2 linked regions of the Ovis aries genome follow. The protein of the gene in region 2 purifies or fractionates together with the protein of the main gene of each other region. This does not show direct contact. Links are inferred from orthologs where the notes say so. Each region holds a gene or a part of one and is shown on either strand. Other genes may lie near its edges.

Region 1 (4,449 bases), on a different chromosome or scaffold from region 2:
CTCATGGTGCAGGTTTGGTCTGTGGCTCTGTGAAGAAGTAAGTAGGAGCCTGAAGGGCAAAGTAAAGGAGGCCAAGCTATTATAGGAATACTGCAGGCCCTAGAGGCAGGGCTTCCACAAGGAAGAAGTTTCATCACTGTCCCAACCAGTCCATCTGGTCCCATCCAGTAAAGTCAGTAACAAGAATAGATACTAATTTTTAGCAAGCACTTACTATGAACCAAACATTGTCCTGAGCTTTTAAACTAATTTTTAAACTAAATGCTCCAAAACACTCTATGTGCCAGGCCTACTATCCATCCCCCTTTTCCAGATAAAAAAGTAAGGCACCAAGAAGTTACACGACTTGCCCAAGGTCACGCCATTAGTAAGGATTAACAACAAAGCCACGAACTGAATTAGATTACAAACGATATCACCATCTTTCTATGTCGCTGCTCCTCTCTGGATCTCCACCTTCCCCCTTTCTAGGTCTTCTCACTCTCCCGGGTCACCAATTCATCACCCCCGCTTTCTGTTCACTTCCCTTCTCGGTCTCCATTCCTCCTCCTCTTGGAACCTAAGGCTCCCCTCCCCTCTTTCAGGAGGGTTTTTTTTTTTTTTTTACCCATCCCCTCTCTACCCCCATCCTCAAAGCCCGGGGGGCCTCAGCTTGCCTCCTCTACTCTCCAGTACCGTGCACATCCCTCAAACTGAAACGCGCTGGACCACCTGAATCTTTCCCGCTGGGAAAAGCAGCCTCCCGATGGCAGGGACAAGCAGGGTTCAGGGAAGGGCCATCTGAGGCCAGAGGGAGGAGGTGAACCTAAAAACTGGTAATACAGGATGCCACAATCGAAGTGCAGCAAGATGATCTCGGGTTACATCTCAAGTAAGACTTCGCGAGCTGCAACCTCACCTGAGAGGCGCAGCAAGCAATAAGACAGAGGAGAACCTCCTGAGGAAACGCCCAAAGCTTGAGGTCAGAGGTTTTCCGAGGTCCAGACTAGCCAGACAGCCCCGCCTCCTCACCTCTAACACTCGGCTCTCTGGGTCCTCCGGGAGCCACAGAGAGGCCGTCGGCGTCGGGCCAGAGCGTCACCGCGCGACGCCTCTTACTAGCTCCGCGCGACATCTCTCTCGCTCCGAGAGCCTTTTCTTCCGGAAGACTATCAAGAACAGCGTGAATAGAGCTAGAGAGGCCCCCGACGTGCGGGTCCTTCCGTCCTTGGCGCAGCCCTTGTTCCCCTTTAGATGCTCCTCCACTCAATTCCGGAAACGCCCATCTAGCTGGCCTTCTGATTCACCATAGAGAGGCGTGAGTCATAGTAGAGCGCCGCGTCGCCCAAGTGATGTCAGGTAGGCGCCACACGCTGAAGGCTTTCCCCGCCCATCCCGGGTCTGCTCTCTCTTTCCGGACCTGGCTAAGGAGGAGGCGCCATCATGGTGAGCTAGCTTTGCGGCGTCCTGGCCTCGACCATCCGCCGCCATCCACTGCGGCCCCGGGCTGGGGACGTTCCAAAGGGAGGCAGGGGTTCACGGGTGTTCGAAGGAGGCGACTCCCGCGGTGGGGAGCTGTTTTGGAAGCCCGAAGGCCAGGGCTGGGCTTCTTCAGTCTCCCACCCTTCCTGTACTTCTCTATTATATAGGTTCCATCGTAGGTGACCAGATTGAGGGGCAAGAAGGTTAAGTAGTATGACCAGGGCTACAGTGCCAGTAAATGGCGGAGCCAGGATTCGGATCCAGGAACTGGTTCCACAGCCACTCTTGCCTGTGCTGCCCCTGTATTCTGTCACTCCCCAGCCTGGAAAGTTGGGTGCTGGTAGGGGGAGTCGTCAAGCGGCTGGTTCCCGTGTTTGGGGCCAGGCGGGCTTCCGTTCGAGATTCAATTCCCTGTCCTCTGCATTCCCTGTGACTGGAAAGCATCTATCCTTTGGAGACCCAGTAATTTTGCTTCAAAGATGTGAGTTGAGTAAGAAGTGCTCACAGAAGGTGCTCACCAAGGGTCTTTGCATACCTAAATGCTGGATGAATAAGAGCTATTAACAAGTAGTTCTTTACGATTCATGACATAGTCATAGGCTTCCTTCAGCATTCTTAGCACTAGAGTGGGAAAGCACCTGGTCAGGTTTTTGGAGTCAAGAAGATAATGCTTGAAAAGTGGTTTTAAGATTGTTCTGTACAGAGTACTTGAGAAAAAGGCTGGTTGCTTTTATGATAACTTAAAGTCAGTCCTTGGTTTGTTTCTGATAACGCTCCACGTATGGGAATAAGCGTTGAGAGGTTAAATGGTACTTATATTTTTGAAAAACATAGCTGCTAAAGAACTAAAAATTTGAGTTAATAGGGGTGCCATTAAGGTCATTGTTCTGAGCTGACAGCTTACTGTGTAAAATTAGCACTCTTTCCCTTTTTAAAAAAATAAAATAAAAATGACTTGAGACCCAGAGAGTTTTAAGTGATTTTCCCAGATTGTTCTCAGTGTGGGTCTGGGGTTGGTTGTCTCCAGAGACTGCGCCTTTAGCTGTTTCTTGCACGTAAGGAATAATTGAAAATGTTTATGTGGTATCTGCCAAATGAGAGTTGGGTTCACGGTCTTCCCTTCCTTCACCCCTTCAGGGAGTTGACATCCGCCACAACAAGGACCGAAAGGTTCGACGCAAGGAGCCCAAGAGCCAGGACATTTACCTGAGGCTGTTGGTCAAGGTGAGGTTTGGGCCAGAGACCCCTCATCAAGGCCACCCCAGAAACAGAACTTCATAGCCTCCGTGTGGTTTCGCTCACAGGCTCCCTGCAGGGGCCTGGAGAGCAGGCACGAGTCTGCTGCTTTCCCAGAGCTGCTGGAGATTCCAGCTTTTTCAGTCTCTGGGCCTGTTCACAGCCGGGGGGGTGGTGTGGGGGATTTTCTGGGTCCCCGGCCGGGCAGGACTCGGCCAGCTCTCTCTAGGGCTCTATGGGATGGGGGAAAGCCCTCAGTCATCTGTTTGCCCCTTTGTTAGAAAGCTGGGAGGAAGGGGCTGGGCTCGGCTGCCCTGGGTTCTCACTCTTCATTTTCCTTCCGCTCCAGCTGTACAGGTTCCTGGCCAGACGAACCAACTCCACCTTCAATCAGGTTGTCCTCAAGAGATTGTTCATGAGCCGCACCAACCGGCCACCGCTCTCCCTTTCCCGGATGGTGAGGGGCTGATGCTGGGGCTTAGCCAACCTGGGGGAGCAACTGGGTCATGTCTGGAGCCCGATTTCGAGAAGAAGGGTGGGCTTGGAGCTCTCTGGTAGCAGCCTGGCTGTTAGCTGGCTTAACTTCATCCAGCGGTGGGTGCAGAACTCTGACCCTCCGATGGAAGCAGTATAGTGGGAGCGTTGGACTGGCTTAGCCTTATTTTCTTTCTTGCCGTGTCTGTGGGGTTGCAGTTTACAGTGTCTTTTATGAAATCTTCCTGAGGCTTGAAGTCTTAGAGCAAGTCCTCTGTATCAAAAGCTTTCTGTAGGAGAGATCTGTTTGCACATTTTTTGGAGGTTTCCCCAGGCTGGACCTGAGAGTAGGCTTGTTGTGGTAGTTAGAGAGGTGTGGCATGGGTGGGTTTAGCCCAAATGAGGCACAACTGTTGGCCCTTGGGACGCCTGGATCAGTGGGGTTGGATGTAAGCGCCAGAAAGGACTTGTTTAATGTGTATATCACGGCCCCCTCCCCTGTGCCCATCCCAGATCCGGAAGATGAAGCTTCCTGGCCGGGAGGGCAAGACAGCTGTGGTCGTGGGGACTGTAACCGACGATGTTCGTGTCCAGGAGGTTCCCAAACTGAAGGTGAGTGTGGCTCAGGAGCACGGTGTGTGTGTCACGCGGAGGCCCTTGTCCTGCTCTGGTGCCGTCAGGCTCGTCTTGCCTCTGGGTGAGGCAGGCATCAGGCCTGAATTGCAAGGGGATGGTGTGGACGGCGGGCGTCCCTGGGCAAGCCCCTTCTGGGGCCCTGCTGATGGTGCTCGCTCTGCCACCTCGTTATCTCTGGACAGTGCTCCACAGTATCTCTGCTTCAGCTTTCTCAACCTGTGTACTGGCTTAGGTTTGTGGTGTCGGGGGTTTCTAGATGTAAACTGGTAAGAATGGCTGCATTCTTAGGGCTTAGGCGTTTGCCTCCAGTAGTTGGTCATCAGGCAGAATAAGCAGCCGGAACTCCTGCTGGATCTGGGCAAGGGACCAGAGGTCCCAGCAGCTCCTGGGTCACCGTCCAGGGGGCTCTGACCATGCCCGTCCTCTGTCCCCTAGGTATGTGCTCTGCGAGTGAGCAGCCGCGCCCGGAGTCGCATCCTCAAGGCCGGGGGCAAGATCCTCACCTTTGACCAGCTGGCCCTGGATTCCCCCAAGGGCTGTGGCACTGTCCTCCTCTCTGGTGAGTGGTGCTTCGAGGCTCGAGGAGTTTGTCATGAGCCGTGGGGCTCCTGGCAGCCTTTCCCTTTCTGGGTCTGGGAGGTC
Region 2 (4,283 bases):
CCTCCTTTCCCTCAATAACTACATTACTACAAATTTAAGTCATGAACTGGTAGTCAATGTTCAAGAATGTACTACACGGTAAGTAGTTCCAGATTAATGAAAGTGCAGATATACTATACAACATCATACACATGCAGCATCCCATTTACTGAAGACCAAGAATCTTCCCAGTACGCACCCCACCACCCCACCACATCCTTGCTCTGGCTCTACTTCCTGAACCCATTCCCAAAGAGCAGACAGGCCCAGCAACTGCTGTATCACAGTTCCTCATGGGCCTGCTCTGTGCCACCCAGGCTTGTCTAGGGCCACCGCCAACATGCATTATGTCCTGTTTTGCTCCCTCTTTTCATTCCTAATATTGGCATTAGCAAATGTGATAGGTGAGGATAATCACACCAAAACATATCCTCTAGTTCCCTGCCACCCCACCCCTCCAATAAAATCTGGATAGCCTAGAAGAGTAGTTCTTAAAATGTGGTATAGGAACCCACCAGGGTTCCCAAGACTTTTGGAGAGGGTCCAAGAGGTAAAACCTGGTTTGATGATAATGGTATGAGGTGATGTACCCTTCCCACTCTTATTCTTTCACAAGTATATACAGTAGAATTTTCCAGACCTGTGATCACAATACATTGACTATAGAAGCAGCTATGAGGATCCAGCTATCTTCTACGAAGCCATACAATTAGAGAGATTAGTGAAAGTGTGAAACAATGCCACTCTTCTCGCTAACTGTTGCATTTGTTTTGGAAAACAGTTACTTTTCATTAAATATTCTATTTCTGTTACCAAGTAAAGGGCTAATTATTTCTTTTTAAAATGAATTAATAGTTTAATTCTCCATTCTAATTTCTGTTGTGGCAATACTGACACACTCCACATTGGGATCTTCAGTAATTTTGAAGAGTCCTTATGGCCAGTAAGTGAGCCAGTCTAGGGGAGACTGTGGACAAATACTGGATTAGTGCTTAGCTTGCAGATACACATGTGAATTCTCAACACCACACACTTTCTGGTCTACTTTTTTATGCAGTGGTTATTTCTGAAAAAAATCTTTCACTTGGATTTCAAAAATCAAGTTTCTTTAATCCACTAGAGAGAAATGGGTTGCCATGGAAAATCACAGGCCAAAGGAGTTCTCCGTGTCCAAAGCTACATAAGCTAGTAAGGGGTGGAACTGGGACCAGAACTGAGCATTTCATTCAGGCAAAAAATGTTCATTTTTTTGACCATTAAAAAAAATGAATTATCACTTCATCTACTGTCTCTTAAAACCAGGAATGCCTGTGGACGGATACAGTCTAAGGTAAACAGTACTGCTATCAACCATTTTTGACGTCTCTAGTCCACTACACATTCGAGTCAGCATTTTGGACCTTAGTCACCTAAGAATGACATCACTCATAAGGTTGATTCTGAGATGATGACTATGAACAGAATTTTTTCCCTTTGTAATTTCTTTTGAACAATTTTTTCTTTCATTACAAATGTAACATGTATAGTAAGTAAAAACTAGAAAATGCGTTTTTGTTCTTAACCACTCGTTTTGGTGGATATCAAGATTTAAGAAGGCCAGTTTAGGACTTCACCTGCACCAATGCACATGCCTCAGAGTATTTCAGGCACTTGGCTGGCAGATTGCTACAATTAACTTCTCTTGTAGGTCGCTTTTGGAAAAAAAAAAAAAAAAAAGGCCTGGGAACCGTTTAGGAGTACTGTAATAACTCCTGGGCTGGGGGTCCAATTTGTACGCATAAGGGTAATACAGAAGGCATGGGGGAAAGGAAAACAGGCAAATTAAACTTCACGTGCAATTTTAACTACCGCTGTTCACACTCAACTAGCAGGGAAAGAGCCCTGCTTCTGCCGTGCGGGTTTGCTGTGTGTGTTTTAACTTGACAAAGCAAAGCAGACCTTCTGGGATTAACTTTTTCCTTTACACGAAGTCCAGGCTTTACGTTGCAGGGTGTTGGCCACCTGTTCTTTCACCACCATCTCTACCTCCACCACCTCCTTTGTGGCCACAGCAATGTCACAGCCCATACGGGGGGGAGGGGAGCCGTCAGGAACTCGGCTGCAGATGCATTTTTTCCAAACACAATAACCTCCATCAGTGGTCTCTAAGCACTTTCCCCTGCGCTTCCAAAAGGCGACCTCACCTCTTAACTCTTCTATCCGCCCTACACACTGAAAAAGGACCACAAGCCGTCCAGTCTGCGCTTGGGGGAGAAGTTTATACCTTCGTCCCAGAGATGAGAGATGCAGCAGAGAAGGCAGCAACCGAGGCAGCCCAGTACTAGGAAGGGAAGAAGAGGTGCGGGAGCGGAGAGGAGGGTGAGGGAAGGACGGCGAGGGGGAGGGGAGGCTGGAGCGCCGCGGGAGTAACCTCCACCGCACCCGACCGCCCAGAGGGGCGGCCCGCCCGGCCCGCGAGTTTCTCCCCGGCCGCCTCCAGCCGCGGCTCTCGGGAGGAGGAAGGAAGGGGTTCCCCGTCCAGGAAGCAGCCCCAGCGGCGGCCGCCTCCAGCCTCACCCTCCTCAGCCCCGCACCGCCCATTCCTCATTCCCCGCGTCGCCGCGTCTCCCCCTGCAGACCGCCCCCCCAACCGGCCCCGTCCGCCCGGCGGCCCGCCCGCCCAGGCCCCGCACCCGCGCCCCCTTCCCGCCCCTCCAGGGACCCCTAATTCATTCACTCGCCGCCGGCCCCGCCCGGCGCCGGCGAGGAGGGTCGGGACCCCGGCAGGAGCCGCGAGGGGTGGTCCGCTCTGTACCTCTCTCCCGCACCTGGGAGCCGCCGAGCCTCTGGCCCCCGCCGCTGCCTTCAGTGCCTGCGCCGCGCTCGCTCCCAGTCCGAAATGGCGGGGGCCGGGAGTACTGGCCGAACCGCCACCGCCACCGAAGCCGCCGCCGCCACCGCCGCCGCCGCTGTGCCTCCGCCGCCGCGGCCGCCGCCTAGGAAAATCGAGCTCCGAGCGCACCGATGAGTTCGGGGCCGGGCGGCCGCAGAGGGCAGAGCTATCGATGCGCTCGGCGCTCGATTCCTCTCCAGACGGGAGTGCGGCTGAGGGCGATGTGGGAAGAGGGAAGAGCGAGCCTGCTAGCGCCGCCGGGAAGAGGGAGGGGGGCCGGCCCGGGCCGGGGAGGGGGCGGACCAGGCCGGCGGAGGAGGAGCGGGGGCCGGCGCGGCGGAGGAAGCGGGCGGCTGGGGCCGTGGAGGGTGGGGACGCGCGGCCGGCGTAGTGGCAGAGAGGTTGGCTCTGGGAGGTGCCTCGGCGCGCGCGGGTGGGGGCGCCGGCGGATCCACGCGGGGCCCGCCCCCAGGCTCCAGCCGCAGGGCAGGCCAAGAGCCGCAGCCTCGGACCCCGGCCGGCGCGGGCTCGGTACCCCGGCGATGCCGAGGCCAGCGCCGCCCTGCTGTCGGGGCCACACGGTGGAGCTGCGAAAATCCCGCCACCCATGGGGTCGGCCTGCACTTGGGTACATTCATTTACAATCATTTATTGCAAGTGAATAAACATGCAGTCACCCAAAGTAGGAGGCAACTTGGGGGACCTCGGAAGAGACCTGGCCGCCAGTTCCCTGGCCCGGAGCTTTCTGAGCACACCTGGATGATTACCAGTCTCCACAATCGGGGGCTGAGAGCTAGCCCCAAGCCCAGACAAACGCGACAAAATCTTTCACCACTAATTAAGCGGGGGGCGGGGGGGTGGAGGGAGCGGCGGATCTGTTGTTTTCTGTTGTTATTTTTATGTATATTTCGAAGCCATCGCGGGTCACTCAAAACGGCGACCTCAGATATACCTATGGCACCTGACAGTACAAGCAGACGACAGACTATTTTTAAATAGAAGTGCCCTTAATAGTCTAGACTTGAGGAGAATCATTCAAACATTAATTAGAAGACAGATTAATCAGTTAACGTTCGGGGAGTTAGCACGTTAAACAATGAAACAATTAAACATAACTCTAGTATGCCCAGAGTCTGCGTTGATAAACTATCTATAAAGGTTTGGGGGAGTGTTTTTTTAAAATTGAGGCCTGGCAGACTGGCGCTTATACCTAGTAGGACCACCCATCTGAGTCTCTGCTCATAGGTCTGTCCTTCTAATCCGCATCATAAAACACGAATAGTTATTTTAAAGACCAACTAGTATGTCTGTTAACCTAGGCCTTACACCAGCTGCCCCCTTTTCCTCCTTCCCCTTACGTGGGCTGTACTCTGCCAGGCTGTTTCCTGCTTCTTGTCTCCTGGCACCTGGCACCAGGTGGAAGAGGCAGAAG

What was found.
Region 1: the proteins of KRAS (region 2) and RPL18 purify together in Homo sapiens (affinity purification with mass spectrometry; 3 studies listed by BioGRID and IntAct, with this or other methods). This does not show direct contact. The link is inferred for Ovis aries from reciprocal best matches to the Homo sapiens genes KRAS and RPL18.

What each region holds. Positions count from the first base shown.
Region 1 is NC_056067.1:55,014,558-55,019,006, reverse strand, and holds the start of RPL18 (large ribosomal subunit protein eL18), read left to right. Parts: upstream 1-1,389; 5' UTR 1,390-1,422; coding exon 1,423-1,425; intron 1,426-2,598; coding exon 2,599-2,685; intron 2,686-3,046; coding exon 3,047-3,154; intron 3,155-3,684; coding exon 3,685-3,783; intron 3,784-4,242; coding exon 4,243-4,366; intron 4,367-4,449.
Region 2 is NC_056056.1:190,372,415-190,376,697, reverse strand, and holds the start of KRAS (GTPase KRas), read right to left. Parts: upstream 2,860-4,283; 5' UTR 2,787-2,859; exon of another isoform or gene 2,774-2,786; intron 1-2,773. UniProt on the Homo sapiens protein: Ras proteins bind GDP/GTP and possess intrinsic GTPase activity. Plays an important role in the regulation of cell proliferation.